Linked DNA regions of Tribolium castaneum. The protein of the gene in region 4 purifies or fractionates together with the protein of the main gene of each other region. This does not show direct contact. Links are inferred from orthologs where the notes say so. Each region holds a gene or a part of one and is shown on either strand. Other genes may lie near its edges. The genes, in order: sin3 histone deacetylase corepressor complex component SDS3, inhibitor of growth protein 1, Sin3A and SIN3-HDAC complex-associated factor.

Region 1 (7,583 bases), on a different chromosome or scaffold from region 4:
TTTTTAAAAAAGTCCAATTCATCCCTGGAAAAACTATAAATTAACTCCAAATGGCAACATACCTCAAATTAAAAAAAATCCATTGGTGACAATCATTGAATAAACAAAGAATAAAATTACTGTACTGTACTTTTTATAAACTTTTAAATAGATCTTGTGATCACTTTAATAAATATACGATTATCCTTGACAATAACTTGAAGAAGAAAAATTAAGGATGCAAAATCGGATGCTAGAAAATCTAATTTTGTATATTTATGATCACTCGACATATTTGTTTTGTTAGGAAAAATTTTACGATAGGTATAATAGTTTATGAACTAACTTTAAAATTGCTGTTTGGTATTTTTTTATTTATTAAACGTTCTTATTGCTTGTTATCATTTATTACTAGCAGGTACCTAACTACGACCACATTCGTGACCTGGCCATCCAAAGTAGATAGAGACTGGCGCAAGCAACAGGTACGCAACAAACTGGTCGCTTACCTTTTCCCTCAGCTTTTAGTCCTGGTTACTACAAAAAGAGAAACCCATAGCGAAAAAATCTAACACTTTATGATTGTCGCTTTTCCTTAAATCTAAAATACTGAATTTAGAATTTTTAATCACACTTTCCAATACTGTCAAATTTGAGATCACAAGATAGCACCATTACACCACCACAATGCGCTTCCACAATTCCCGATGAGCGAAGCTACCGTTTCCCGGGAATACTTCCTGTGCGATACGCTTGCGTAACAAGTATAGCAGAGCGAGCGTCCCGACTCCCGGATTCTCCCATTATATTTAATACGTTCTAATCACCTGAGATAATAAATCATATTTATTACTTAATTACTTATTGCAACTCTTGCAAAATTAGTCCTAGTATTTCATGTACATTATATTGATTACACAAGTGCTAGTTTTATCAAATAATAAATCAAAATCAATAATCATGTACAACAAAAGTTTACGTTTTTTTTTCTATCATATCAACTTGGTAAAGTCTGCGTTTTATTTAAACCTAGTCAAAATCTGGTAATAAAAACTTTTGTTACACATCTATCAATTTTAGGTACTATATACAGGGTGACCTAGGGGTGTGTAATCGGTTTATAACTTTTTCACTATTTGAAATATTATTACCATGCTGTTTTCATTATTTATCCGATAGATCGACTTAATGTCCACAAATTAAAAATATTTTATTGTACACAGGTTGTTGTATAGGTGATGAACCTATGTTATATTATTTTAAATCACCTTATATATTTTTGCATTATTTGGTTTCTACGCAAAAAGTAATGTGTTTCTATATAAACTATTATGGGTCTATCTTTTTTCGTTTCGGAATGATTGCAACTTTTGGTAATAAAATAGAACAATTTTTGAAAAATCACTGTGAAGTCGCCTGTCAATATTTTCCGGCAAATTTGCAACACAAAATTTCAGATTACCTTGTAGTTTTAGAAAATAATCGACTTTTACTTGAAACACGGAAATAATGTACACAGTGTACCAAAACGCCAAAAGATGAATAACTCATTTTTTTTTCAAATGGAACACCATATATTTTTTTTCATGTATCGATAGCATTTTTGATAGCTTTCTAACGCTGTGGGGTTTGCATAGCAAATTTAAAATATTTTTTGAGATTTTTCAAAAAAAAAATATTTTTTAAAAATTGAGTTTTTCTATAACGAAAAGTTGAGTAATTTCGAAACGAAAAGAGATACTTGTCGACCCATAATAGTTTATATAACGTTACTTTATTTTTTGCGTAGAATCCAATTATGCAAAAATATATAAGGTGTTCCTTAAAAAAATATAACTTTGGTTATGGCATGGCAAATATTTCAAATAATAAAAAAGTTATTGGCCGATTACGTATCCCTAGGTCATCCTGTATTAGTTTTTGTTGCACAAAGTATACCAAGTGAAGACAAATTTGAAATATCTCTTTCTTTTGGAATGTGCGGAACAAAAACAAGTTTGAAATTTGCTATTTTTTCATTTATTATAATTATTTATTCTAGTTTGATTACTTATATTTATTATTATAGTCACTACTTTATATCCGAAAATGTGATTACGTGAATCAAGACCTAAAGATTTAGAATCAGTCAATAAGGCTTTAATTTACAATCCCAATCCAAAGTAACTAATAATAGTAGAGTTACAATTTATTGCTACAACAATAGGTACTATTGTATGTATATTTTTCCGAATTTAATCCTGTGATAGATAAAGTTATCGGACAAATGTAAACACCATACTAAGATAAACCGATAACCAATAAATAATTACTTGCTAAAAAATTACTAAACTATACAGGTGTCCGTTTTTTAAGCTCCACCATGAAGATCTCAACTATTATAAAAATACGAGGTCGCTTATTATCTGAAAGAAAGTTTTTAGTTTTTTAAATATTGAGAAAAATCAAAAATTTGTTGAAATGATTAAATAAAAACTCTAGTAACATTAAATTCTCTGTAAACAAGTGCTAGTTCAAAAAGTCTTTAGATCAACTCTTGCTGTAGAATTTGGATTGACCAAAATGCAGCACCCTGTACAAAACGAAAGCTAGTATTTATTCACCATCACATACTCTTTAATGTAAGAAATCAACAGTATACACCCAAAAAAAATCATTAAATTAAAATTAAACTAGTGGATTCGCAGAGCCATTGTTGTACCCTTGCTAAGCAAAGCTGTAGAACTCGCCCATCGATCAAATTTGACAACCAACATTAATTTCGAGATTTTTTCGCCAAATTTTAGTTTACGGGACTATTAAGTCTCAAACAACACTTTACAATTCACCACTCCACTCTTCCCAATCAGAAAGTTTGGAAGAATTGTATTTTAAACGCCCGTCTAATAACAATAACTGACGATGACGTCACAATCACGTCATAATTCGGTGCAAATATCTAAAATTAACGTTCGAATGGGTTTTGAACCTACCTTTCTCAAATTGAAAAATGTGTGTAAAACAGTCTTTTGAGCCGGTTTTTCCCCGAGTTATCTCCATAACCACCGCGCCAAATCACAGCCCACGCGCGCCCGAACTTTCAAATTTCACAAACATTTCACAAAACATGTGTCCCATTTCTTTTGAACCAACCAGCACGACTAATCACTAGTTTCGTTTGATTTTCTGAGAGATAACAACAACAACAACACCGACTGTGACAATCTCGCGCGGTGACAACTGTCAAAAGCAGCGAAGTCAAAGCACTCTTGGCAAATTTTTCAAAAGTGTGATTTCAGACATTTCTCAAACTTTTTGAGCAAAATAATGTTTCCTGATCAGTAAAGAGATGATTTAAATGTCATTTCACATCTTTGTATCGAGTCTATAGCTTGTCGTTTTTTTCTTTGAAGTCTCTCCAAAACCAAAATTGTGTCGTCAAGGGTAACAGTGACAAAGAAAGACCTATTGACAATTTTGCCCAACATAACAAAGTAAAAATCTCTAATGTCCAACAAAAGTGTTTGGTCTTTAAGAAAATTAAACGCTCTCTGGAATGTATTGTTGAGAAAAAAAACAATTTCAAAAAAGCCATGCGCGCGCATATAAATTTGTTTGACAGCATTTGACAGTTGAGTTGAGTAACATAACCTCATTGTAATTGTTTACAAACCTTGCATATTTAAGAAAACACTGAGCAAGTTCCTTATTAAATACTTTGTAAAACTCAAAGTATGTCATATTTGGGATCTCCTTACTCGAATTCGTACAACCAAGACTACGAATATGAAGATGATAATTTTGACGATGAAGATGATCGTGAAAACGAAGATCCTCATGACGACAGTGATGAAGGTTTTTGATATAATCTACCAAAATTTGGCAAAAAAATCACAAATGTTTTAATTTTTAGATACTGAAGATGCCAGTGAAACAGACACTGGCCGTCATGAAGAGCCCCTCGAAATTAAAGAGCAAATGTATCAAGACAAATTAGCGAGTCTTAAAAAGAAACTCCAGCAGCTGAGTGATGGCAGTCATCACGACTACAACAGAAAAGTGAAGAAACTTGAAAGTCAATACAGGGAGCGGATAAGAGTGAATATTTTGTACCGAGACTATCGAATTGAATGTGTGGAGCGTGAATATATTGCTGAAAAAAAAGCTGCAGCTAAAGATTTTGAAGACAAAAAGATTGATTTGCGAGAGAATTTAATCTCAGATTTGGAAGATAAAAAAAGAACAATTGAAGCAGAACGTTATTCGATTGAACTGACTGGAGACTCCATGGAAGTTAAGCCAGTAATGACAAGGAAATTGCGTCGTAGACCAAACGATCCAATTCCTGTGCCTGAAAAACGGCGAAAAGCGCCTACAGCACAAATCACTTATCTTTTGGATGAGAAAGATATTGAAAATGACCTGAAAATCATCAATAGGGGGAAAGTGCTGGCGCCTGTAAGGAAACCAAGTATTGGTTCGTTTTACTTATTAATTTTTTTCCAAATAATAACTGATTATTTTTACTTTAGATGATAACATTTCACTATGTCCTGGCAATCTTCAAAGTCCTTTGGCTGTTTCGCCAGGTCTTAATGATTTACCGTTAATTGAGACGAGAATTGAAGACGGAAAACTTCTCTATGAAAAACGCTGGTTTCATCGAGGTCAGAGTGTTTTTGTTGAAGGAAGGGATTTGCCAAAATTTCCTGCTAATATTTCTGCAATAGGCAATGACATGGTAAAGTTGAAAAAATATTTTAATTTTTTTATTGTTTTATTTTTTTTTTTGTTTCAGATATGGGTGAAGAGATCTGATGGTAGTAAAGTTAAAATCTACTTATCAAGTTTGGCTCGGGGCAAAATATCAGTTAAAAGAAGAGCGTCCTAAATAATTATGTAAATAGTACTATCGAGAAAATATCACGTTTGCTGCAGAATTTAAGTGGAAAATATTTAGCATTTTTTTAATTACTACTAGGAATTTCATGTGAGCTGTAGTTTGTAAACAATAAATAATTGATATGTTCTGTGTGTTTTAGTCATTTATATTTTTAAACAAAAAGTACATACCAGCGAGAAATAAAATTAAATACAAAAATTTTCATTGCTTTTTCTGTAATTATACGGTTGATTCTTCTAGGGCCCACATTAGAAACTTCTCAACTTCTAATATAGCTAGAGCTTTAAAATTTTGTATCCAAACCAAATAGCACTAAAGTTGTTTTCCAAATAGTCAATTGAAACACAAAATGTATGATTCTTCATTCTTTGTATTAACATAAATACAGACATTAGGACTAAAACTTATTTAAAATGAAGTAAGGAAAATCTCCCTTTTATCTCCTGATATTAGTCGGTGCCTCTTACTGTGACCACTTTCATGCTTTTCAATATTAATAAAGCTAATTATACCTATGGCTAATACGATACACAAAATTGTTAATAGAACACCAGCGAACTTAAAATAAAAAAATGTACACAATTAATAACATCACTTACTATACTTACTGTTAAAAGTATAGTTTTATTGTCGGTTTTAGCAAATATACATCCAGCAACAGCCATAGCTAAGCATAATGAGCCTAAAATTATCAATAAAGTGGGCAGCTCAACAAAATCTAAACCAATGTATCTTCTAGGCCACCATAATTCGTCAAAATAGATGGCTCCCATTGTTATAAGAGTTATACTCAAAATCTATAAAACAGTATTAATTTTGTAAACAGAACTACGTATACTTACTCCAAATAAAACACTGAATATAGTTAAAGCAATTCGTAAAATGTGGCCGTTTGGTTTGAACTTCATTATTGCGTTATTAGTTAGTTGTATTTCATTTCAAGTACGAAAATTTATCTACATCTGATTAGAAAAACTTGTTAAACAGGTACACATGACATCCTGTTATCAGCATCTTCAAAACTTAATAATACTCAACCGCACTTTGTGTACATTATTCGTAAATGTAAACAAATAAATTAATTTACGTATTTATTCTAAACATTTTTTCAAGGCCACCGAATTACGTTTTTTTTTTCAAGGATGGATGTAATGATAGGACAGTCAGAAGAAATAAAAGGCGTGTTTTTTAATGTCTTGTCTATTTGGAAGACATTTCTTGTTATTAAAACCAGTATAAATTGATTGAGTATGAATACAATTTCTTACAGTATACATAGAGCATATTGCCTTTAGAAGCGAAGGAAACTATGTTACAAGCTAGACCAACGGTTCCTCTTTTGCACAAGGTCCTTATACAAGATTTCTAATTTTACAACTTTGATTGGCTACTTATTTATATCCAATAAAAATAATTTTTCCAAACGAAATAAATCGTGTCGTATGGGATAAAATAAAGTCTCTAAGTCAATGTTTAGTGTTAGACAGTAACTCAAACAAAATTTCTACATTAACAAATACACCTACAGTAGTTATACACACTGTAATGCAACTTGAATTTTAAATTAAAACCTGCACTATAATTACACAAAATATTTACAACTTGATCAAGTGCTTCAAACAAAAAATGTACACATATTATTTATAATAATTATCCATAAAAACTTTGTGTATTAAAAATCACGTATGTACAAAACAATTATACAGTTATAATCCTGTGCAATGTCCTACACAAACTCAGCCAGATTTAACACAATCTGACTCAATTAATAAGCGAATACGGGAACGTTAATTTCTACGGCTACGTCCATCACAGTTTTTTGTTTTTGTTTTAACAAACTCTGGAATTGTCAAGGCCTATGAAACCTAAAAACAAAACAATCATAAACAATTATTGCATAAAAGCATATGAGCAACTATGGAGGAAAGCGCACTAAATTAATTCCTATATAATCAGTGAGAAAAAAAAAACAAGAATTGTTAGAACTGAGTAAAATTGTTTTTTTTTGTTGATTAAACGAATTTTTGCATTTAGTTTTCAAGAAAAAATATATTGTGACAAAAACAAACAACATGAACGACGTAATTTTTCTATTTTTATTGGTCAATTACTCATTCCTGAGACATCAGTGAAGCGGTTTAAGGGTCGATCTTTTTTACGCCTTAGATCTATTCTGCTTAGTTTGTGAAATAATTTGATGTTTTTAAACGAAAACACACTTTATTTAATTTATTATTATTACACCAAAACGAAGAATCTTAAAAAAGCAGGACTTTTACACAACTAATTTAAATCTACATTGTCGGTTTGTAAAAATCAATAATAACAATTATAATAATTAAAATAAATAAATTTTTAAAATCACTGCGGATGCAATTTTGATATTTCTATGTAAATAATTTTTTTACTCCAAAATTAAGACTTAATATAGAATTAGAGTATGCATTTTTTTTCAAAAAAGTTCAAACACTGACAAAGTTGCTTTAACGCTGAGAAAATAGAAATACAAAAACTAAAAAATACTTAAATTAAAATTCTGAAGAATTAAGCGACTGAAAAACTGAAAAAACTGTAGAACTGGAAAAAAACACTAATAAATTGAAACATTAGATTCTGAACCAATCCACCAACTAAAACCACGAAAAACTGAAAAATTGAGGAAATACTATGGGAAAATTAAGAAAAAGCTGAAAAACTTGAAATACTAGAAGCCTGAGAAAAC
Region 2 (7,172 bases), on a different chromosome or scaffold from region 4:
TGCTTTTGACCCGTTGGGTTGGTGGCAAGTGACAAGAGTAAAAAATATTTGACGTTTATAAATAAAAATAAATTGCACATTTTTGCCCCAAAACATGTAAAAAAATGCAAATTTTGAATAAACGTCGCTTTAATTTAGTTACGTAAACTCGGGGTTTGTTACCACCGTGCTTCGATTGATCAAAATGCCAAAACCTGGAATTAGGTGAGTGCGATAATTGTGTGAGGATAATTGTGAATAAAATAGTTTTTGTAGTGCAATATGGAGTTAAAAGTTTGGGTCGAGGGAATCCAACGGATAGTGTGTGGGGTGACTGAGACGACAACGTGTCAGGTACCCCCTGACGCCCCCCATTTGATAATTTCTCACACTTGTCAAATTGCAGGATGTAGTGTTTGCTTTAGCTCACGCCACGGGTAAGTCAGGCCGATTCACACTTATCGAACGGTGGAGGAACAACGAACGACAGTTGGCCCCCAATGAAAACCCCCTCAAGGTTTGTAAACCCACCCCCCAAAAAAAATTAAAAAAAATAATAAACACGCAGATTTTGATGAAATGGGGTGAGTACTCAAACGACGTCCAATTCATCCTCCAATGGAGCGAAAGCAAACCCATGACACCAACAACCAAACCAAAAACATCATCATCATCAGCTAATATCATAGTGGAATCACCACAAAAACACACCGAGAAGTCACAAGTAGGCGTTGTGAAAGGTGTACCGCATGTAAAAACACTACAAGTGCGCGAATCTCAAAATTCACCCAAAAAATCCGAATCTCCTAGTCATAGAATCCACCCACCGGCACCGCCCCCTTACCGCGATCCGCCGCCCCCCAAAAAAAATATCCTACAAGAGTCAAACAAAACACACAAATTACAGGAGTCTGTACTCTACAATGCCCAGTATAGGGAATTAATCGCGCTTATTAATTACCAGAGGGAGAAATTGTCCAATCAGCAAGCAGACCTAACAAAGGTGCCACAATTAATTTAATTAATTCTTATTAGAAATTATTTTTTTGTAGTTTGATGCCGAAATTGTGTTTTGGGAGAGTAAAGAACGGGAAAAACAAATGCAATTAGAATACATTTCGCAGGAAATTCTCGCAATGACTAATGCTACGAAATTAAATCAAGACCAGGTTTGTTTCAAATAATAAATTTTCAATAATAAAAAATTGTCCCTAGATTCAGGCATTGCATTACATTGAGGAAGAATGCGAAATAGTGAAACAGCAAGAGAAAACGCTCAAATCCGAAATAACTCTCTTGAGATCAAAGCTTGCAAATTGCGAAACTGAACTTTTGCAGTGCAAAAATAAAATTCGTTTAGTAATGGACGAGTTACAAATCGAACAAAGAGCTTTATCGCGTCGTTCTGAATCACGCAAACAAATGGAAAAAAGTCTCCTAGTCGAAATGGAGCGGTTACAGAGAGATATCGAGTTGGCAAAACAGAGCACTGAATTGCATCACCTGACTGCCGAAACGCTCAAAAAAGAAGTGAGTGGTTTTATCCCTCTGTTTGATAATTTATTGTTTTTTAGGTTGCCGCACTTGAGACGGCAATAATCGAAAAGAAAAAACAAGTGGAATTGCTTGTGACTGAAATGAAAGAGGCGAATTTACAAAGTTTGACTATAGCGCCACCTGAGGATTTACGAGCGATTTTGGAAGGTCCTAATAAGGGAAGTACCCGAAAAATGATTGGTTCGCCTCGACAATTGGAAAATGCTGTACCAACCAATAAAAACCCGCATGGAGTTTGGGTCTAATAAAATTGTAGTCATTTTGTTTAGCTTACCTCAGTCTAGGCGTGTTTGATTTTCAAGTCTGATAGTTTGTATTGACGCCATTTTAAATTATAAAAAGTGTTATTTATTGTTAGGTGATTGGATGATTTTTTACTTACACATTTTTGTTACTTTATTTTATTTTACACTGCCATATTGTGTGTAGTTGCATCACACAGGATTATGATAAAGAAATGATGTTAGATATATTTATTATTTTAAAATATTAAAATTATATTTAATTGCTATGTCGGAAATGTAAAATACACACAAAAATATTAAATTGCGTTTTTCTTCTTCTTTTTTCCCTTTAATTTAGAAATTGCAAGTTGGCGGGTTTGGAGGATTTAGGAATTTTTGGTTTTCTTTTATCAGGATTTTTCGAGGTTCCTGGTTAGGTTAACATTACCAGACACTGAGATGTTAGACATATTTATTATTTTAAAACATTCTATGAAATTATATTTAATTGCTATGTAAGAACTGTAAAATGCACACACCAATAAACTTATGTTTTCTCCTCTTTATCCTTATTATACTTTTCGAGTTCTCTTAAAAATTGCGCCTTGGGTTTCATAACATTGGGTCTATCACCTCTACACTTTGGACAATACCATTTACCTTTCGGTTTGGTGGTTAAAGTAACGCAAGAAAAGTGGAACCACTCGATTGGACACAAATCATTGTCGCACATAATCATTTCACCGTAAGAAATTTGATCACAGAGACAATAAGTGGGCTCATCGGGATCAATAATCGGCTCTTCCTCCCTTGGCGGAGATTCCTCTCTCTGTGCTTGCACTTGCTTCGATTTGCGCTTCTTCTTCTTCCCAGTCCCACTCTTCTTCGTCGAGTTGGCCGTGGACGGCACCTGGCTCCTCAAAACGTGCTCCACTGGGGCTGAATCATTATGATTCGACTCCAAGCCTGAGAAAGTGTCATGACGGGTGCGCCGCGCCCTCTTTGGAGGCCTCTCGACCAAACCCGCACTACTGCTGTTGTTATTAGGGGGCTGTTGCTCCTTGTTTTCGAGTTGAGTCGTCTCGTCTTTACCAAAATCTAGCAATCGCGTTTGACATGGTGTAAATTAAAAAAATACGAAAAGTACCTAAATTTTTGAAGTCCTGGTCCAACAAGCGCGTCTTGATCTCAATCTTGTCCAGAATTGACTGCAAGAGGTTCATTTTCTCGTCGCCCAGTTCCTGGGCTGCGATCAGGGCTTGCTGCATGCGGGCGAAGCCCCGGGCCTTTTTGGCGGGGTTATCGTTACCGATTTTTTTCCAGTTCTCGGTCTGGTATGCGGCTTCACGCACGCGGGCTGAAAGGGCGGCTTGAGGCCGGTTTTTGGATGAAAATAGCAAAGTTTACCCAAGTAACAGACGTCGAGTTCTCGCATCCTGGAGATTAGGCGTTGGAGTTCATCGGGGAGGTTCTCAACGCAATCCAAATAGTTCTCTACGTACGTGGCGGAATAAACGGCCTCGACGGACACTTGGTTCAACATGATTTTCAACGGGGAAAGTTACAAAAAGGTTAAAGGTTTACTTCAGCTTCACATATTTCAAACATAAGCCACCATTTTTGACATCAATCGCTGTTTACCGATTTTCACGGAGAAAAAAACCCCAGGACGGATACGCGCCAAACTCAATTTTTTACACGACCATTTTGTCTAAGGCCTAACTGCACCGGTTCTGCTTAATAAATAATCAAAAAAACTAAATTCTTGCCAAATTTCGTCTTTGATCTCCTAAAAAAATCACTAAATTTGTGTAATAATAAAAAAATTATCACAAATTTAACTTTTTTTTTGCACAAAAACTACTAAATTCAGCTCACCACTGCATTATTTTCAAGGTTTCAGTGCATTTTTCAGTCTGAAACTCACTTATTTTGCAAAATTCAAAATAAAAAATTATCGAATTGGGCCGCAAAAGACAATTTTTTCCATTTTCAAAGAGTTTCAGCACTTTTTCGTTAAGGAGCAAGAAAAAATTATGTTACTCTGTTATTAATTATTACCATCAACCACTTGCGGGAATCAAATGTACCACAAAAATTAATTTATATTAACTAAAGTTTAATGTTCTCTTGCATAAAATATTGATGCACAAATGCTCATACAAAGTATGAGTTTTAATAATAGGAGTTTTATTGGAACTAAAATGATTTTTATCTCCCAAGTTTTAACATGCATGTGAATAAAAAGTTAAACATGCAAAAAAGTGAGCATTCCATGTTTTAAATTTAAAAATAATGTTCCTAAACTTTAGGTCCGTTCAGTAAATATAAATTAAAAAAATGTAATTTTGGGGCTACACTCAACACCCCAGTTGTTGGCAAATAAATAGAAGAAAATAAATTTAAAAAAACAAGCATGGTCAATGTCTGCGAGATATTAGAGCTAAACCCGGCGCCTCCGCCATAAAGACACGACGAATAATTTCCAATTTCCGTCGAAATTTTCGCAACTTGTCAGTATTCCGGACAGAAGAATGTCTCTAGTAACCTTAAAAATGTCGACACAAGGCGGACGTTTCAAATAAATCAGGCTCAAGTCATAAAGAAAAATCCTTTTGTAGGAAACGTCCGATTTAATCTTTTGTGGCTTTATTGAACTTAATGAAAAGTTGCAATTAATTTCTTAAGTTTGAAACGTGACGCTTGAGCTAATTCCAGTCGGTCAGCGAAATCTGAAGTCGTAATAGCTGGTTTGCGCTAAATAAATCAAAATATTGTAACAATATAATTATGGAGGAAACGTGGGAGCAGCCAATGGTGGTGGCCCAACCCCCTCCAACACATGTAGGCGCCTTGGAAGGATAAAGAGTTTCAGCAACATCCTGAAACGCCTGTTGATCTGCAACCAGTTGTGTTAGAGGCCCAAGGAATTTTAGCAACTTGTAAGTTTCATGTTTTCGATGTTTGACCAAAAATCAATTGCCATTCGTGAAGTGAAGAATAATTAGGCGAAAAACGTGGGGAAAATAACTTGAAGAAAACGCGACAGCGTCATAAATCTTAAGTCTTTAGCAGCTTGTTTTACTTTAATTTAGTTCCCATAGAAAAATGATCGATTAAAATTAATTGAAATCCTTTGAGTGACTGTTGAATGAATTTTCTAAACAGCGTTTATTGTTACACTGTTTGAAGTTTACTCAAAATTGACCGAAAAAACCCGGAATTTAATTACTCTTTTGTTAAACTTGAATTTAAAAATAACAAAAACATAAATATGTAATGTTTAAAGACTCGTTTGCATTTTTATTAAAAAACTTCAGTAAAATATGCTGAAAATATTTTTTGTTTTCATTAAAACCATTTTTCGTGACTAATTGTGTTGACACGATTTTTATATGCAATACAAACATTACGTTTTCAAATAAAAAAACTATTTCCGAAAACAGATCATTATTTATTTGTAACAGAATGCTCCCCAGTGCAGTCTCTCATTATGCAACAAAACACAAAGGTGATCAAATAAATAGCGCAATTTTCTCCGTAAAATAATTGCCGATTAATAAAAATAACTATTTTTTGCTCGAAATTTTATTCAGTATTTGCGAAGCCTCAAGTGTTATTTGTTCACCAAAAGAGAATAATTTCTTGGTTAAAATAAATACACACTCATGTGCTTTGTTGACTTTCAAACGTGAAATTGAATTCATTAATAAAACCAACGGTTTGAATCATTGAAACGCACAAAAAACACATTCCTCATAATTTGCCTTTGGGGCAAACCCAACTGTTCATTCGTTCAAATTAGATTAAAACCTAATCTTGGAATTATGAGGGAAGTTGGAGGAGCAATAAAACACACCATTGCACTGTTATATTATTTTAACAAAAAAGACTTTCGGGCAAATAATCCAAAATGCTGCGAATGATTTTAATAAAAAGGAAGGCCAGATTTACAACTGCCACAACAAAACGGGTGATTACAACAATCACACTTTCCCTGATTGCGAAAATGAAGCGAACAGCGGTCTCGATGAAGTCACGAACCCAATTTTCAATATGTATAACAGTTCCCAGTGCATCAACTTCGAGCAAATAAACGATTTTTTCGTTCAAACTGTAGTAAAAATGATCTAAATAATCGATAAACTGGCAGAGGAGAGGCTTGGTGGCCCTCTCAACCCTTGTGTTTGTCTCTTGAAAGAAAATTAAACACGAATTTGAAACTATTCAAGACTTACCATCACCATGACAAGTTACAAGGAGGGCCAATGCTAGGAAAATGGCAATTTTCATCATTTTATCAGTTCAGTGTTTTAGTATTTGGACCGTATTTATATGCAAATGTTATCAGTGTACTTACGGGCACTAAAATTTAATATAAGGACGGAACAATTATGATAAAAGTTTTACGTTTCTTTGGCTTTAACTGACCGTCAGTGTCACTCATAATTACAACAGGTGTTAGGCGAAATTTAATTAAACTGACAAGATTATAAATTATTAAATACTTGCGTCATTTTCATGTAAATCAGTGTTTCCCGAAAATAATCAAAATTTTTAATTAAGTACTTGGTTTTGAGTGCTTTTCAGCAAGTTTGAATGGTGTTTCTAAATACTAATTGAAACGCATAATGTTTGAAAATTTTTATTTCTACGACATTAAATTGGCAGCAAAAAACTTGAGATAATTACGTGTAAATTTTACTTGAGACAATTACAATTATTTTGTAAAAAAAGCCTAAAAAACCGAATAAAAAAATTATTAAATTATTTCGAAAATCGAAAAGTTTTTGAATGAATTACAAAATTTATAGTTTTAATCTTGTGTGTCGCAAAAGGTAATAATTTTATGTAAAAAAAGCATTTTTATTTATTTAGATCGTGGTTGTTAAACCAGCGAGTTTCGCTCAAGTGTTCATCTTACGTTACATGTCGCCTCAATATTTCAGGCATGAATTCATGAAACTTTCAGCACATGCAACTCAACACTATTTACACGGCCGTAATTGATATATTATGACAAGCTCGTCTCCCCCAAAAGCGAAAAGATTCTCTCTGCGTCCAAGTTAATAACTCCTCTTGTATGTATCTCACGCTTAACCTTTAGCGGCCACAAGATCCTGATAAATTGATGCTGCAAGAGATATAATTGACCTCCATCTAACTGATTCTGCTCATTTTCAAACCGTAACCCAATTCCGAAATGGACGATTAAACCCAACACCTAATTACTCCAACTTTTGCAGAACTCAAGATGGTGCCTTTCGCCATCTTAATCCTCACACTAATCATCCAACTAGCTTCGGGCTACAACAACGAAGACTTTTATTCAGACAATTTCGACGGTTTCGAGGAGCCATCAGAGGAAGTTTCCGACATGGAAGTGCGGCGAAGAAACAGCAATTTTCTCCG
Region 3 (8,084 bases), on a different chromosome or scaffold from region 4:
GTTCCTCACAGTGCTTGCTGGAAACGAGTGAATTTGCCTTTGCCATTTTCCATTTAAAACAATCGGACAGGCGTATCGTAAGCCAGCAAGAGACGCTTTCCCTGTCGCAGAAATTAAAATGTGACCAGCTCTGACTGACCTTGAATAATTTGGCTCAATACTCGTTCACCTAAAGCAACAAATTAAGCAACCTGTGAATAAACCCCCTCTTGTGTATGTAATCCAACGCATCAAGGACATCCTTTAAAATTAAAATAATAGCGTGTTCAGGCAGTCCTTCGTTAAAATGTGTATTTAAAAGATCGCGACATGAGCCAAAAGCCATCAAAGGGCTCACAACACACACTTCATGCAAATGCACAAAGGCCACAAAGTACTTAATAATGTTTGGGTGCTGGAACTGTTTCGTCAAAATGATTTCTCTCTAAAACAGATCAGTCATGCAGTAGCACTTCAGGGATGGTTTCACACCTCGACCAAGTGCGCTTCGTGTTTAATTCGGTCCATATTAAAGCGTTTTATGGTGACCATGGTGCCCGAAATTTTGTGTTTTGCCAAGTTGACCACTGCCATTCCTTCGAAACATTGGCCCAGAGTTGATATTGTCTCGTAAGCTGATATGTTTGCCTCATAATTAACCATTTTAGCGCTATTTTTTAGTCACACTATAAACAATTTTTTGTGACATATTTAAATTTGAAATGACCTAACCTAAAACTTGACCATTCTGACGTTTGGTCCGCAAAAAGGGGCAATCAATCGATGTTTGGCAATAAATTGTAAAACACTCCTATATTTCTTAAAACAGTAATTGAATGTAATGAATAAATAACGTCTTAATTGATAATTCACAAGCTTTAAAACAAAGCAACTTAACCTAGAAAGTGACAGCTGACGTTTTATTTGACATGTGCTAGGTTTCATGAAAAGGCCATTTCATTTTGATTTTTTATTAAAAGAATAAATATGTTAACATGGAAGCCTTAACTAGCATAAATCACAATTCTTCATTAATTTTCTTCCCACAAATGGCCGATTCTTCAACACACACCTTTTTGTCTACGTCCTCTGTTCCACTTTGGAAGTGTTTGATAATATTTTCTTCCATTTCTTCCATAATGCCCTCACACTAAAACGAATAAATCAGTCCAGCCGAATACCTAAAATAACGAGAAACATACGTAATATTTCAAACTTTTGTTTAAATCGTCATCTTGAATTAAATTCACTTCAGACATGTCGTTATTCATTTTCCCATCTTCGGTAATTAATTTCAACAAAGTTAAAGTTCCGTTCGATTTCCACGTCGCCCTTACATAATCGTCCATTTTCGTACAAATATCTTCGATCATTTCGGATAAATGAACCTCAGACTTGGCTTGAGAAACTGATTTGTGTCGATAATTGCCATCAGAGTCCAGTCTATAACCCCCAACGTCGACGGTTTTGGTTGGATCGATTTTATTCACAGCTTTGTGTAATTCGTCTAAACTAACTTTACAAACTGGAAATCATCACTAATTACAAAACACCATTACAACAAAAATCATTCATTCTTTACCTAAACACCTCAACTCTTGAGCATCAATTTTTTGTGCTTTTGTGTTGTAAAAAAAGAGTGTTACTAGAACTAGCGTTATTTTCATCTTATTGTCAGAACAATTTTGCACTTTTTCGGAATAAACTGGCAAGAATAATATTTTCGCGGCTCGCTTTCTTCAAAATAAAACTGGTTGACGTTCATAATTTTCTAATGACACGTTTCTACCTTCTGATTGGCTAAATTGGGCTTATGCTGATAGTGATGGCTGATAGTATTTGCTCCAATGGTATTTCCCGTAATGAAAATTATTTGAACCGAAAATCTTTCACAGTTATAATCCCGTGGTTTTTATAATGTAAAATTAAATCGATAAAATACATAACCAAACGGTCCAATAATACAGTTAGTTTTTGTAAGAATTATCTAATTGGGAATAATAATTGGATTAATTTGGGTTGAATTCTAACTAATTGGATGTTTCTGTTTTTTACGGTAATTTTTTACAAGTTTATCAGAAGTGTATTGGAGCCGTTTTGACTCGGAGCACAAACGTGACCCCATTTTCTTCAATTATTTATTGTCTGTCATAGAATAGAAGCACTGATTGAAGTGGGCAACCCAAAATACAATAAACCAAGTGAATTTATTTTTTTTTCAACTCTTATCTTTCTCAAAAAGCTCAAAAGCTCTTAAATATTAGCATATGGTATTTGTTTCAAGTTTCAGATTGCTACATAATTTTTTAAATGGAATTTATGACCTGTTTTAAATTTCCAATGTTCTCCATGCATCACTGTGTGTGTGTGTGTGTGTGTTTTTTTTTGATGTTTTGAATCCAAAAATGTGATTTTCAACTATTTTTATACACTCACTTCAGTTATTATTATTTTTTTAATTTTTCATTGTGGTTCTTATTGCCGAAGAGAGTGACTAAATTAATAATTAGTAATTAAAATGTGTCTTCTTGAGGTGTGTGTTATGCAGTAATGTTCACTGGATGTATATTCAACATAAAGTGGATTTATGAATTAATTGCATAGACAAGTTTTTTACTTGTTTTCAGATTTTTATTTAATTTTATATTTTTTATTAGCCTCTGCAGCCACGTAATCATTGGCACGAATACTTTTAGAAATTGTTTAGTTGATTAATTTCTTGTAGGTATAATTATTTTTAATAGTAATAAAAATGTTTAGGTGTAGTTTATTAATAATAATTAATAGACACAAAAAGAGTTTGAATCTTGATGTCCGGCTTAATAAGATTAATAACAGTCAGAGGTCAGTTTAAAACTTTTACATCTGCTACACGCTCAACTAATCCGAAAATGGGCACTACATTGTTCTTTGGCGGGTATTTTTAAAAATCGATAACAGCGCCACTGTTCTCTTCACATTGAACTATCAGAGCAAGCATCAAACAAACCTTTTACGGATCAGACAATTGATTCGAGGGGCGGTCGCTAGTATCCGAAACTGAAAAAATCCACAATATGACTAAAGTGTAATTTTTCTGGAATTGGGAGCTCATCCTGTGGCACGTCGTAATGTTTGTGTGTAGGTTTTGTGCATTTTGGTGATCAAAAACTTGAAAAATTTGAAAGTGGGCAAAGCGACCAACCACCCGAAATTGATGGACTCGTCCAAACAAGCTCGGAGATTTGAAGCAGCCAGTCAGTCGACAATCGGTCATCGTTTCGGGTGGTTCGGAACAGAATGTGTCAGAATTTTCTTTTGATGAATTCTAGTGTTTTCCAATTATTTCCCAGTGAAATCAGCGCGGATCGGTTGCAATTGTACGGTGCATCCCCGGCACCAGTCCGCACGGAAGCGCTTTCCGCGAAAGAGGCTTTTGTAAGGTGAGTGACATATTTTTAACTTTTCACATTGACACAAGTGTTGTGTAATTGCAATTCCCAATTCGGCGCCGCTTTTCCAGCATTTCCCATGGTTTTTCCGCGATTTCGGCGTCGGCGTTCCAAAATTAGCCTCCGTCGCGGGGGCCGGCACTCTCCCTCCGTGGAAATTTCGTCGGCCTGGCAACGCTTTTCCGCCGAAAATCTGCCGACCTTTCGGTAATTACGAAATTTCGATGCAACATTTTGTATTTGTTTACTGACAAAGAGTCGCGTCCGATTTTCGGCTTTATGCACTTTCGTGTTTGGGTCGCTTCGGTCGCAGCGCCTCGCACGTCCGGTTCCCTGCCCTTCCACTCGCCTATCGATTCCTTCATTGGCCAATCGCGAGCCTAGCTTGCTAGATCGCGGGAGCGAAGTCGACACGCAACGTTGCCACTGCCACAAATTACTCATGCACAAAGGTGTGGCAACGTTGCCACAACACAAATGCCGAAAAATGGCCACCAGAAACCGACACGTGACGAGATTTTTATGCGGGCTTTCTAAAACTTTGACGCGCGCCTTTTCAAGGTCATCCGTGAAAGTTGATTTACTGTTTGCATAAATGGTTTAGGGTATGGACTATTTATTTGGTTATCTCACGAGTGCCAAAATGATAAGAATTGTTACCCTGAGTTTTGTTTTGTTTTTTTTTCCGGGGAGAAATACCGACGCCATTATTGTCCGGAATGACGCGATAAGTAACTGCGTAGCAGTTCGTATAAACGCTACCGGTTTTGTTTATGCCAGAAATAAATAAGTGGGCGTGTCGTTTTGCGGATCAGCTGAATTGAAAATGTTCAACATGGGATCGAGAAATGTTCCATGAACGTTGTTGCCGATATTGTTGCAAATTTTCCTCGAATCTTATATTAAAACTTTAAAAATATCAGTGGTTTTGACTATGATGGACGAAATGTTGTTGGATTTTGTTTACGTAACATGTTATTTTGAGGTTATGTCGAAATAAAGTCATCATTTTGCTCTCCTAGCTTGTAAAAAACAGTATGGTCAAATTACATTTTTAAAAGCTTTTTTACATGTTTATTTCCACAAATTATTTTTTTGTCAAATACTAGTTTAGATTTTTGTTTTTACGATTTTTAGTAATTCTTGAATAACATTTTCGTGCTGGAATGAACATGTTTATATAAAATTTCAGAGGTAAGACGAGGGAAATAATTTGATAATTATTCAATCTGTAGGACGTGTTTCATAAGAGTAGTCTGTGCGAATTTTATTAAAACTGTAATTATGTGTCACATTGTGCTCTACTTTAATATTATTCATTTATCTACCAAATAAATAGGTAGTAAAATTATTTAAATTAGAGTTTGTCTCTGTTTTTAATTTAGGTATTATTATGTATGTTTTAAATTATAACGTTATAATAATTACTAACGGTGTATATTTATTTATTTGTAAGAAAAAGGTCAGAGATAATTACAAAAACTGATCTGACAGTAATAACATGCAGAAATAATGTTTGTACAGCGGTGGATAGAGGATAAAAATGGCAAATTGTTAAAAATTAATTTACATAATCACAATTATAGGTATTGGAAAATGAAAATTGGTTTTACATGTAATAAAAAATGTAATTTCTATTGGAAACCAATTTATAATGGAATGTTAAATAAAATGCTTACCGGTTATTATCATGGGTTATATATTTTTTGTCTAAAAAACATTGTATTTTTTCACGGAAATACAATATTCATAATATCTTCTGAAATTATTAATTAAACAAAAGGTAGGTAATTGTTAGGAATTCGATTAATGTAATAAAATAGCAGCATATCATGACACGAACACGTTTTTCTTAATCTTATCACAAAAGTGTAATAATATCAACCAGATGTCTCTCAACTCGAAAAGTGAAAAGTTTAATTGCCGTGATTTGTAATTATAAACTAATCAAATGGAAGTCTTCACACGTGTGTTAAAAAATGAAACTTGGTTAAATCACATTTAAAAAAAAACACAAATTTCGAAGAGACGTAAACCGTCACACTTGTTCAAACGAGTTTTAACCCAGCTCTTCAGTCTTTTCATAGAACAAAAATTAACGCCCATTATCAGCGTAATTGATTACGTTATGCGCATTAGCCCCTATCGAGCAATAATAACAGACGTCCCATTATTAAATGATGGCGACGTGTAAACATCTTTCGTATTATTTCACGAAAAACTTTAACATAATATGTAATAAAGGTTTTAAGAAAATACACATGATTTGACTACAGATTTTTTCATCGTCCGTGAGTGCGGTATTTCATTATCTTTCAAAATTCGTGTTTTGGTCGGTAATTCAGACATTTTTTTTTAATTTCGATAAAATTTCGTTAGTTATTGTATTTAAAATGAGTAACATTAAACAAAAATTATTTTCATCCACTTATTAATAGTTTTTTGTGTAAATTTTCAGCCGCCTCGATGTAATTTGAAATGAAACGGCTTCGAGTGGATGAGACGCTGAAAGAAGGAAGTGTGTCTCCAGCGACAGCTGCTCTCTACAGCGTTAATCAGCAGCAGCACCAGCAGCAGCAATCAACGACGACCTCGTCGTCGTCAACATTGTCCTACTCGAGTGCTAGTAACGTAAAAGTGGTCAGTGAAGGAATGCAGTCGGGACTTTATCCGCCGCCTCCGGTGAGTTACGGCGCGATGCCAACGGCGACTGCGCCCCACTCCGGCAAAGCTTCCGCAGCAATGCAACCTTTATCCGTCGGTGGCGGCGGCGGCGGCGGCGGTGGTGGTGGCGGCGGCGGCCATACTCAATTACGCACCAGTGCCGGTTCATCACCACCCACCGCCCCTCCTATCCAAGAAATGCAACAGCAATCTCAACAACAATCACCTGGCAGCAACTTCCAACGTTTAAAAGTCGAAGACGCCCTCTCCTATCTCGACCTGGTCAAATATAAATTCGGTTCCAAGCCTCAAGTGTACAACGACTTTTTGGACATTATGAAAGAGTTTAAGAGTCAAAGTATTGACACCCCAGGTGTTATCCAACGCGTATCAAACTTATTCAAAGGTTTTCCCGATCTGATTGTTGGTTTTAATACGTTTTTACCGCCCGGTTATAAGATTGAAGTACAGAAAAGTGATCAGGGATATGCATTTCAAGTCTCTGTGAGTATGCCAAGTCCGACGGGAAATATGCCCTCTGATCCTCAACAACAGAAGATGATTATGAGGGGTTCCGGAACGATCAACATGTCGAATTCGGCGTCGGTGTTGAACACGCTACCACCATGTCAGCCACTATCGTTGACGCAGCACATACCTACGGTTCAGGCTCAAACGGCCGCACCGGCAATACCACCACCCCCAGTGCCTGTACATCATTCAACGTCAAGTTACGGCACTGGAGCGCCGACCTACAACAACTCGTCGATGACACTGGCGGCGGCGCAAGTCGCCGTGAGTCAAGCGCTGCAAGGACACACGGATACGCCGCAGAATCAGCCGGTGCAATTCAATCATGCCATTAATTACGTTAATAAGATTAAGGTAATTTCGTGTTTTTAAATTTTTTTTCTTTTAAACACTCGTAGCCATTTAGAGATCAAAATTAGGCTAAAGAAAAAAATTCGTTCCAATTATTGGATTTGATAATATTAACGAAACAAAAAAAAAGATGGACTTGTATAATATTACCCCCGTTATCAATTACGTGTTCTACAAAATAATGACATTATATCTGTTTTCTTTAATTTGAATTAATAACTAAAAAAGTATTAATAATTTTGATGCTTGTTTTTTATCCGATTTAATTTGATTTGATTTTAATCCAAACATTAACCCAGGAGGCTTTAATTGCCTACGATCAACAGAGTGAGATAATTTTTATTGCCTTCTTGTGTTACACATTAAAAAAACGCATAGTCGTAACCCAAAAAATATTCACTTTCAATTCTTTCACTGTTATTAAACAATAATAAACAAAAATTAAAAATGAGTTTTGTAGAAATCAAATCATCAATTGTTTCTTCATAATTTACTGCTTGTTGCTTAACTGATAAATTGATAATAAAATCTGCGACAACCAAATTGGTTTATGGTTCATCCATTAACGAAAGAAACTTGGCTTACATACTGATTTGTATCGGATGCCGTAAATAAACAGCTTTAACTGGGGCTAGCAAAATAGATCGGCACAAGGTGATAAAAAAATGAATTTTATCTTTTTTTTGTCTCCGAAAATGGATTAAAAATTCCTTATATATTCGTAATAAGAGTACCAAAGTCAAATTGGAATTACGCAAAAGTTTAGAAAAGGAAACAGGAAAAGTACTAGAGAGAAAATAGTGCTCACTTACAATTTGTTCCTTAACTTTTTACACCAAAGTTTTCAATTATTATGGCTTACTAGGAATGTTTTCTGCTGTCGAACCATAATTTTCGTAAATGTTCAAGATCAAAAAAAAAATTTCAACGTTGTAATGATATTCATTTGAAATTAAAAATTAATTTAATTTTAGTGTTTTTTTTTATTTTGTGTTGACCAATTGTTCGCTGCGGTTAATGCAATGGTTCTTTTATTGGTGTGGCTTATTCATGCATTCTGTGGTTCTTAATCAAGCAGACTTGAAGATGGACGCAATGAATGATATGAATGGAAAATGACGTTATGGT
Region 4 (8,155 bases):
ATTTTTCTCCTCGTTATAAATGAATAAAAGTTGTATTTGGTACACGTTGTATTATTGTTTTAGCAATTGCAAAAATTGAAAGCCGAGAATGAACGTTTAAAGGCTGACAACAGGTCTCTCACTCGTGTCATCACCAAACTTACCAACTCTCCAAAAAAATAGGTAAAACTCGTTAAAACGCCATGCAGCTGATTTCGCCCATTTTTTTTAATGAAATTGTTTCCTGTTGTTCATTTTGTTTTATTATTGTACACTTGTTTTGTGTTCAGATGTTGGATGATGGTAGAACGCATATTTACACACCTAATAACAAAAAAAGTTTTTCTTTTTTTAAATTGCTAACATACTAACATATTCTCTCACATTTCCAATTTTGTGCAGTGTTTTTTGTTTGAATGTTTGAGCTTTTTTTCACGGACCGATATTGACACACGGCTTAATTATTCGTACGTGAGCATGTGTTTAACTTACTACAGTCGATTGGCTGTTGCTAATTTGCGTATTGATTTTTTCAGCAGTTGGATATTATGAAGGTAGAAAATCAAAAGCTAAAGGACGAGAATGGAGCGCTTATTAGAGTGATTAGTAAGTTATCGAAATAGCATAAGCCTTAGAAGTTTTAATTTTCCTATTGCATTTTACTCTGATTACTAGAACTTCGTAGTCCGAAGTCGTTTCCTTCCTTTTTTTGTTGTAATCAAGTATTATTGTTATTTTTTATTTATTGAAAATTGTACGAAACGAATGACCACATTCAAGTAATGTCTGCTTCAAATCGGTGAATTTGAGGCAAATTTTACATTTTGACATAATAAGGCATTTGTGTTGGATTGCTTGTAGTTTGCTGGTTGTGTGATATTATTTGCTTTTTATTTATTTTGACATTGTAGGAAAAGACATGTATTAAACACTTCATTTTTACCTACTAAACGAACATGTCAATTTAAAGTATATTTTTTGTAAAACATATAAACATGTTGTATTATATAAATGTATTTAAATGTACTGTACTTTGTGAATAACTTATTATTAACAATTGTTGTGATTTTAATGTTACAAAAAATATATAAATTATTTGTTTTTTCTTGATATTTGTTTTATAATGCTTGCATTTGATCAAATATAAGCATTATAAAAGTTTGTTTTCCTTAGGTAATGTACAAAATCGATTTTTAACGAAAAGTTTAAATTGTTAGAATCTAGTCCAAAGATGAAAAACTTGCGACAAATTTTGTTGAGCACTTTTCACTTGTTAGATGTTTTTAACTTTGAAATTATGCCATAAGGTGCTAAATATCACTAAGTTCAAATCAAAACTTTACATATGAATTTTGTCTGTGACCATAATAATAAAAATTGGACTGATGAATGTTTTGTTTCATTAGCGAAATTACATTTGTACATACAGTTTGTTAATTTCTAGCGTTTTAACGTTTTATTTCATTGAACTTGTGCCTTGCTTCTCTTTGTATTTATTATATAAATTTTTAGTTAGTGTGTAAATTATTTCATGTATTTATTCCTTGTTTAGAGGCTGGTAGAATATCATGTGAATAGTGATTTTATAGCTGATTCTTTAATAAAATCCTGATACGAATTGTGAGTTTTTCTTGGGACTGGTAGGTAAGTATGAAAAAATTCTGTACATATTTGGGTTTATTCTTATAAAGCATTATTTGGAGGAAGCTCCAAATTACAACCTTGACTCTCTCGTTACATTTTTTGACTTAAAACGAAATTATATACAAAAAATAACAACACAAATTTACGAATTGCTACAACATTGTCTTGTGGGTGGTGGAGGAACTTGATCATCGTCAACAACAACAACATTGCGACGTTGCGAATTCTGTCTAGACAAGGGCGCATTTTGCGCTTCTTTCTCTTCAACAGTCTCTAACATTTTCTGCGTCAGAACGAGAAACATCTCCTCAACGCCTTTATTCAATTTTGCCGACGTTTGAAAATGTATCGCTCCCACTTTAATCGCATAGCTGCAAAAAAAATAATTAAAAGTTATTTGAACACAAGCAGCGTAGTGATGAGAGAGTGAAAAACCTAAAGTGTAACTCACGCTTCGGCTTCTTCCAAGCTAACGTTTCGGTTCTTCTCAAGATCAGTCTTATTTCCAGCAATCACTAGACATATATCAGCCCCCAACATCTTCCGCAATTCCTTCACCCAACTTTTGACTTTCTGAAACGAATCTTCATCAGTGATATCGTACACCAACACTGCACCGTTTGACGATCTGTAATAAATAGGGCCTAAGGCGTGGAACTTCTCCTGACCTGCAGTGTCCCAAATCGCCAAATTTATGCGTTTGCCGTCAATATTTAGTTTTTTGTTGAGAAACGAAGCCTGAAAAAAAGTGTGTAAAAGTGAAAATTTAACTTGATTAAACACCGTACCTGGACCGTTGTTACATGATTCGTGTTGAATTTATCCTCCACATACCTAAGTACCAAGCTGGTTTTCCCCACACAACCCTCCCCCAACAAGACAACCTTAAAGTTGTGGGAAGCCCCGCTGGTGTTGTTGGCCATAGTCAACGAATTTCACTGACTCATTAAATACAATTACGCACAAATGATTTATTAGACTTTTCCCCACAATCAACAATTATTTTCGATTACATTTTCACAATCAGCTGATTGTTCTTTATGTAGGCGTGACTTTGCGTACCTGTCGCAATTAGTTTAGGAAAACGCCGCTAGGGGGGTTTCAAAATTTTTTCAATTTTCGGCCAAAACCACATTTTTTCAGGACTTGGTTAATTGCAAATGGTTATTTTTTGACAAAATTTTCGGTCCACAATAACACCGCGAAGAATCAAATCGATTTAAGACGTGTAAACAAGTCGGTTGTAAAAGGAAACGTCAGCTCAAACTTGACGTAACACCGGAAGTCGTACTCAAATCAACAACTGTTTTTGCGTTTCTCAGGCAAAAAACGTGACTTGTGCCCAGAATTCAGGCATGTTTCAGGTTGCGATAAATTAGGTGTGAATTGTGGGATGCGTATTTTAGGGAATTAGGCTAAAATTGTTTGAAATTCGCCCCGAAAGCTTTAGGCTGCGCCTTGAGATGCGCAGTGGCTCATCTGTGTTTCTAGCCGTCATCTGTGTTGTATTGGTAAGTAGACAATCAATTTTTTGCGTTAAATTTCTCAAAAACTACGTGAAAATATTGAATGATTCTCTCTCCTGAGTGTTAGTTTAGGTCGTGTCAATGATTGGGAACGAGTGTCATTGGGAATTATCACGTAGTTCATTTAAAATTCGCTTTTTTTCGTTGGCGTCACATCGGTGGTAGAGAGCGTTTGTTCAAAAGCACAGCTCCAAGTATTGTAATCAGGTCAAATAATTGGATGTCTTTGGGCGATTTTTGCACCAAATCAGTCGAAAACGTGCAATTGTCGCCCAAATTTTGGTTTTGTTGGATTATTTCGACGGGCGATATTAGTCGGGACGTTTGGCACGTAGGCCGCTTTCTCTTATGCACGTGTTGAAGTGTTCCAGTTTCGGGATTGCATCGAGATGTTTTCGATTTAAAAGGCATTATGTAATGGAAAAACTGGAGGAAAATCGGTGTGGTCGTGACACCATTTCTCGAAGGAAAAATAGAAAGTTGTGGGCAAAACACTAGCACAAAAATTGATTATTTTTGAAAATTGAAGCGTCACGTCAGTGGAATTATTACTATTTGTTTGCTAATTTGGGCCCCAGTGTGTTAACCCTTTGTCTCACACTGATCATATATGAATGAATGGGTTACGCCCACGGGAAATTCCATAACTTTGTGTCTGTTTTGTGTGATTTGGGCCTTTAATTTTTCGATAGTTTTTCCCCCCATGGGCCGAAAATGCACGATCTGGTCTCCGACCGGCTTCTTTACACCACGCGTTGTTCCATCATGGCCGGCGTCAACGCTCCACATAATTTTCATCGTGAAATTGTATGAAATGTTACCGAAATTTCAGTTATTTTTGTGTTTTTATCACGAAATTTGTTATAGCATTGAGAAAAAAATCGAAATTTCGTTCTTTAATCGACTCGGAATTGATCAAAAAGTTACCCCCCGCCGTGTTTTAAAACTAAGTATGTGGTAATTAATGTTTTTCCGTTTGTAACTGGTTGTAGGATGTAGTAAACATTTTATTGTTGTTAAAAGTAAATAAATGAAAATTATTGATTCTGGTTTAAGTGTTATCAATGTTTTTGTTGCAATTGGGGTTTTTTCACTGTTTGCGGAAATTGTGATTAATTTTTGTCATCATTTTTATCAACAAATTGAAGATGCAATTATTTATAATGTTGTTCTACTAATAATAGTAGCTCAATCGAATCGCTTAATGGAAACAAAAAATCAACTTCCAACTCTTAAATTATGTAATATATGATCATTAACGAAAAGAAAACTAAATTTTAACATAAAATAAAGTTAAGAGAGAATAAGTTGTGTTGTGAAATGGTTTATTTATTAAACCAAATTTAAATACATTCATGGGTAAAAAAATCTGCAGATTTATTTCAGTTTAAACAGTAAGTTTAGAACTGAGATCTCCATGATGGAGCTTGAAAAACGGACATTATATGGTCTAGAAAGTTTAGAAAATTAAGGAGAAAAATACCAGAGAAATATCAGTTTATAAATTCATTAAGCTTGCAACAAAAAAATAGAGGATTATGGGAAACGGAAGGCTAAAGAACTGTACAGAAATCAGAAAAAAACAATAATTTGCTGTTTTTCAAAGCTAAAACAACCGTCATTTTTTAAACATGTATACTTATTTATTTGTGACCTATTTGTCCTCAAAAGTGTCGTTTTGCCATTTTAAAAAATACTGATAAAATTGTGAAGAAATTTTCCTCTCCGACTTGTTGCAAGTCGAGCAACTAGTTTCAATCAGGAAAAATGGCTTAATTAAAATTATGCAAAATAGATGAGCTTGTTTATTTTTGTAAGTGGGTTGTTGGACGTAGCGTTCTTATTTCTTGTTCAATAAGTTCATGATGTTTATATATTAATAGAAAATGGTGTCAGAATCAAGCTTTTTTTTGGTGGATTTATGTCAATAATTGTGATTACAGTCATTACAAAACGAATGATAATTTTGACTCGTGTCTTGATCGATCCGTGTTGTAGGTGAATGCCCTTTAAAGTTTGTCGACTTTTTAGTCGCGACAACGATGCTGTTTACGATTGCACAAAGTAAATGATGCTTCAAAACTCGTCGAAATCACGGTCGTCTTGTATCTATTTTAATCCTCTGGTTTATTATATGGTCCTGTTTTGCATTGATGGCGCCTTCACCCAACGGCCTACTACCACTGTCCGCGACCTTTATCGTTTTATTTGTCTCGAGATGCACTTTTTGGGGTTATTTTTAGCAAATCGTAGGTCATGTTTTCGTAGAGAACTTATCGGTGTTTACACAGAGATAAAAGAATCGGTTTCTTTGCCGCGATGTAAACACCAGTTCTATAATTAGCTCGAATGATTGATAGCAGTTTTGTGAAACGAAATTTCATTTTTTTTATTTTAATTCAGAAATAGTTTTACTACGATTACAATCCTTGTTATAACCAAAAAAAAAAATAAATAAAAAAATGCGGGAAAACATTTATGGTGTCACAGCTTGATAAGTCTTATCTAGTCTTACAAATTGTGAACATTAGATAATTGATGTAATTGTAGGAAGTGCATTATTAGACGACTTGAAGAACTGCAAGTTATTTTTATTTTATTAAAAGTATTAATCAGTAATGAAACGTTGATATAATACAATTTGCATTCCGTCTATAAATAGCAGGAATAAATTGTTGAGTGTTGAAATACCTGACTATTACGAAATGTAAAGTACGCCTCGGTGCATTATGTTTACGTCGTAAAACAAAATATCAAAACGTTGACATAATTTCGATACGTTTTGTAATTACACCGTATCGCCGAATGCATTTTATGAATAAGTAATTTATCTCACGATAAATGTACAAGACATTGGTGTATTTATAGACAAATCTGTTTACATTCATTTGCTCGAATAGATAAACTTTGCTCGGTATGACAACAACAATACCACAAAAACAATCTTTTGCATATTGTAGAAATGAAACGTCGTGGTGCAACGTACAAATCAGCAGGTAAACGAAAATTTCGTTAATTTTTTTTCTGTTGAGGATTTTAAAGGTCACTTGTGTATGAGAGTTGTAAATTAAAAATTGCAAATGCAAGGCCGGTTCGACCTTCCTTTTATTATCTCATTCAATGTCACATGTTTGAAAGGCTTGATTTGGGCCCTTTTTACTCCCAATCAACAACAGGTGTGACGTTTTCTGTTGGATATTTTTAACTTGACACACTTAATATACGATTATGTTACTAGGGGGATAATTTTTTGGTTCATTACCGGTAATTAGTGCATTTATTTGTTTAAATGTTTGGAATTTATTAGAAAGTGGGAAATATTCCATTAAAGTTAGTTTCGTTCGAAAAGCCGCCTTAGGATGGATGTAGATTATTCTAATGTTCATTGGTCGTTGACCTGTTTATACATTTTTATTTGAGGGTTCATTGTAATCTCAAGGTTGTATGATCTTGGTTCGTTGTGTTGCAACGACACATTTATGAAAATTAATAAAATCCTTCTTTTGGGACAAACTAAATTAAAGAAAGAAAAAAATATATTTTTAAGAGATTTTTTGATGTAAATTGTTAAGGCTTGAAATAGTAACATGCTGGCTTGGTTCTGCTCTACTTGAGCTAGACAGTGAAACAAAAAATCTTAATTAAATCCGTTTAATTCAAAACGAGAAAGAGAAATTGCATTGTTGTCTGGTGTTTTTGAGATGAGACAGCAATTTTATTAGGAAAAGAAAAAATAAAAAAATGAAATGAAACCTTTTACAAGTTGTTTGTATTTTTTTCAGATTTTTATTAGTCTAGGCGCTACACCCCCTGCCCCATCATGTTTTCCTTCCATAGACCTAAGGTGTATAGATCGTCAACAGGATGCTGTATTTGTAAGGCAAAATCAAGCAGGTTAGTGTCAAATTCCTGTCAAAAATTAAACAATTTCAATGATTTTTCTCCCTTCCAGTTCCAGATTTACGGACAGTAAAAAATACGAAGAAGACTTTATGAAATGCTTCAAATTGGCTGAACCCCGTCAAGGTGAAATTTGCAATGCTTGTGTCCTTTTGGTAAAACGATGGAAAAAACTCCCAGCCGGCTCTGATCGCAATTGGAAACATGTAAGTTTCCAAAAAAAAATTTGTTTACGCAACCGTGTGTCATTTGTTTTTTGTTGTAAAAAAAAACTTACGATGCTTTCACAAACTAAAATGCAATTATGGTATCGAAATCAGGTGGTGGATGCGCGTGCCGGTCCCGGAATGAAGTCCATGTCGAAATTCAAAAGTAAGAATAAGAAAATCGATGAGAATTGCGATAAAATCAAGAAGAAGAAGCATTTCGAACGCGAGTACAGTCCGTTGTCGGATAACGAAGATGTGGATATGACTGAAGTTGATTTTTTGTGCGAGGATGGCCCCAGTGGGGGCTCCAGTCGTACGGCGAGTCCTAGAGATAGTGACAGTGAGGAAAATGTGGTGAAAAATAGGAGGCATAAAGGACAAGCGAAGAGAAGGGATGGAAGTAGTCTTCCGGATCTGAGCGATTTTATCTGTCCGGAGTATTGGAAAAGGTGGGTGTTTTATTTATTATTATTTTAGATAATAATTGGTGAGTTTATTGTGCAGAGAGGCGATTTGTTGCGGGACAATCTTTAGAGGAATGTGTGGAGAAATAATCGTTGATAATCGATTTTTGAAAGCTTGTTCGGCACGTTTAAGGTGTAAGTTGGCAAGTCAACATGAAGAAGTTAAAACCGAACCGGAGGTTGGAGTCACTACGAAAATGTTTAGTGATAGTAGTTCGGATTCAGGTTATGATGAGTCGTCAAATCAAGGCACAATAAGTGGAGATAGTGCCTTTAAAAAAGAACAAGTTAGTATAGAGGAGTTAAACAGTCAGATCAAAAACAATTAATGTATGCTCTCTTTAGATTGTTTTAATTTATTGATACATAATGATCGTTGTGTTTGTAAAGATTTATGCCTTTCTTGCAGATTCGTTCTCGTTTTTTTTACCAG

Evidence for each region.
Region 1: the proteins of SIN3-HDAC complex-associated factor (region 4) and sin3 histone deacetylase corepressor complex component SDS3 purify together in Homo sapiens (affinity purification with mass spectrometry; 3 studies listed by BioGRID and IntAct, counting the BioPlex papers as one, with this or other methods). This does not show direct contact. The link is inferred for Tribolium castaneum from reciprocal best matches to the Homo sapiens genes SINHCAF and SUDS3.
Region 2: the proteins of SIN3-HDAC complex-associated factor (region 4) and inhibitor of growth protein 1 purify together in Homo sapiens (affinity purification with mass spectrometry; 3 studies listed by BioGRID and IntAct, counting the BioPlex papers as one, with this or other methods). This does not show direct contact. The link is inferred for Tribolium castaneum from reciprocal best matches to the Homo sapiens genes SINHCAF and ING2.
Region 3: the proteins of SIN3-HDAC complex-associated factor (region 4) and Sin3A purify together in Homo sapiens (affinity purification with mass spectrometry; 4 studies listed by BioGRID and IntAct, counting the BioPlex papers as one, with this or other methods). This does not show direct contact. The link is inferred for Tribolium castaneum from reciprocal best matches to the Homo sapiens genes SINHCAF and SIN3A.

What each region holds. Positions count from the first base shown.
Region 1 is NC_087395.1:75,066-82,648, forward strand, and holds sin3 histone deacetylase corepressor complex component SDS3, read left to right. Parts: upstream 1-3,481; 5' UTR 3,482-3,692; coding exon 3,693-3,813; intron 3,814-3,871; coding exon 3,872-4,435; intron 4,436-4,490; coding exon 4,491-4,699; intron 4,700-4,756; coding exon 4,757-4,849; 3' UTR 4,850-4,986; downstream 4,987-7,583. Other genes in the region: phosphatase and actin regulator 4-B, read right to left, coding at 6,711-6,726.
Region 2 is NC_087402.1:344,337-351,508, reverse strand, and holds inhibitor of growth protein 1, read right to left. Parts: upstream 3,426-7,172; 5' UTR 3,304-3,425; coding exon 3,168-3,303; intron 3,118-3,167; coding exon 2,908-3,117; intron 2,859-2,907; coding exon 2,308-2,858; 3' UTR 2,216-2,307; downstream 1-2,215. Other genes in the region: RASSF8 (ras association domain-containing protein 8), read left to right, coding at 262-333, 386-496, 548-982, 1,032-1,148, 1,195-1,509, 1,554-1,781. UniProt on the Homo sapiens protein: Seems to be involved in p53/TP53 activation and p53/TP53-dependent apoptotic pathways, probably by enhancing acetylation of p53/TP53. Component of a mSin3A-like corepressor complex, which is probably involved in deacetylation of nucleosomal histones.
Region 3 is NC_087396.1:24,659,183-24,667,266, reverse strand, and holds the start of Sin3A (paired amphipathic helix protein Sin3b), read left to right. Parts: upstream 1-2,814; 5' UTR 2,815-3,401; intron 3,402-3,481; 5' UTR 3,482-3,617; intron 3,618-5,868; 5' UTR 5,869-5,888; coding exon 5,889-6,959; intron 6,960-8,084. Other genes in the region: STE20-related kinase adapter protein alpha, read right to left, coding at 1-139, 192-424, 472-642; sel (protein seele), read right to left, coding at 998-1,129, 1,182-1,504, 1,562-1,646. UniProt on the Homo sapiens protein: Acts as a transcriptional repressor. Corepressor for REST. Interacts with MXI1 to repress MYC responsive genes and antagonize MYC oncogenic activities. Also interacts with MXD1-MAX heterodimers to repress transcription by tethering SIN3A to DNA.
Region 4 is NC_087394.1:37,251,262-37,259,416, forward strand, and holds the start of SIN3-HDAC complex-associated factor, read left to right. Parts: upstream 1-2,977; 5' UTR 2,978-3,134; intron 3,135-6,005; exon of another isoform or gene 6,006-6,145; intron 6,146-6,931; 5' UTR 6,932-6,969; coding exon 6,970-7,043; intron 7,044-7,101; coding exon 7,102-7,255; intron 7,256-7,369; coding exon 7,370-7,707; intron 7,708-7,762; coding exon 7,763-8,051; 3' UTR 8,052-8,155. Other genes in the region: Mbs (protein phosphatase 1 regulatory subunit 12B), read left to right, coding at 64-162; ras-related protein Rab-21, read right to left, coding at 1,766-1,994, 2,075-2,361, 2,412-2,546. UniProt on the Homo sapiens protein: Subunit of the Sin3 deacetylase complex (Sin3/HDAC), this subunit is important for the repression of genes encoding components of the TGF-beta signaling pathway.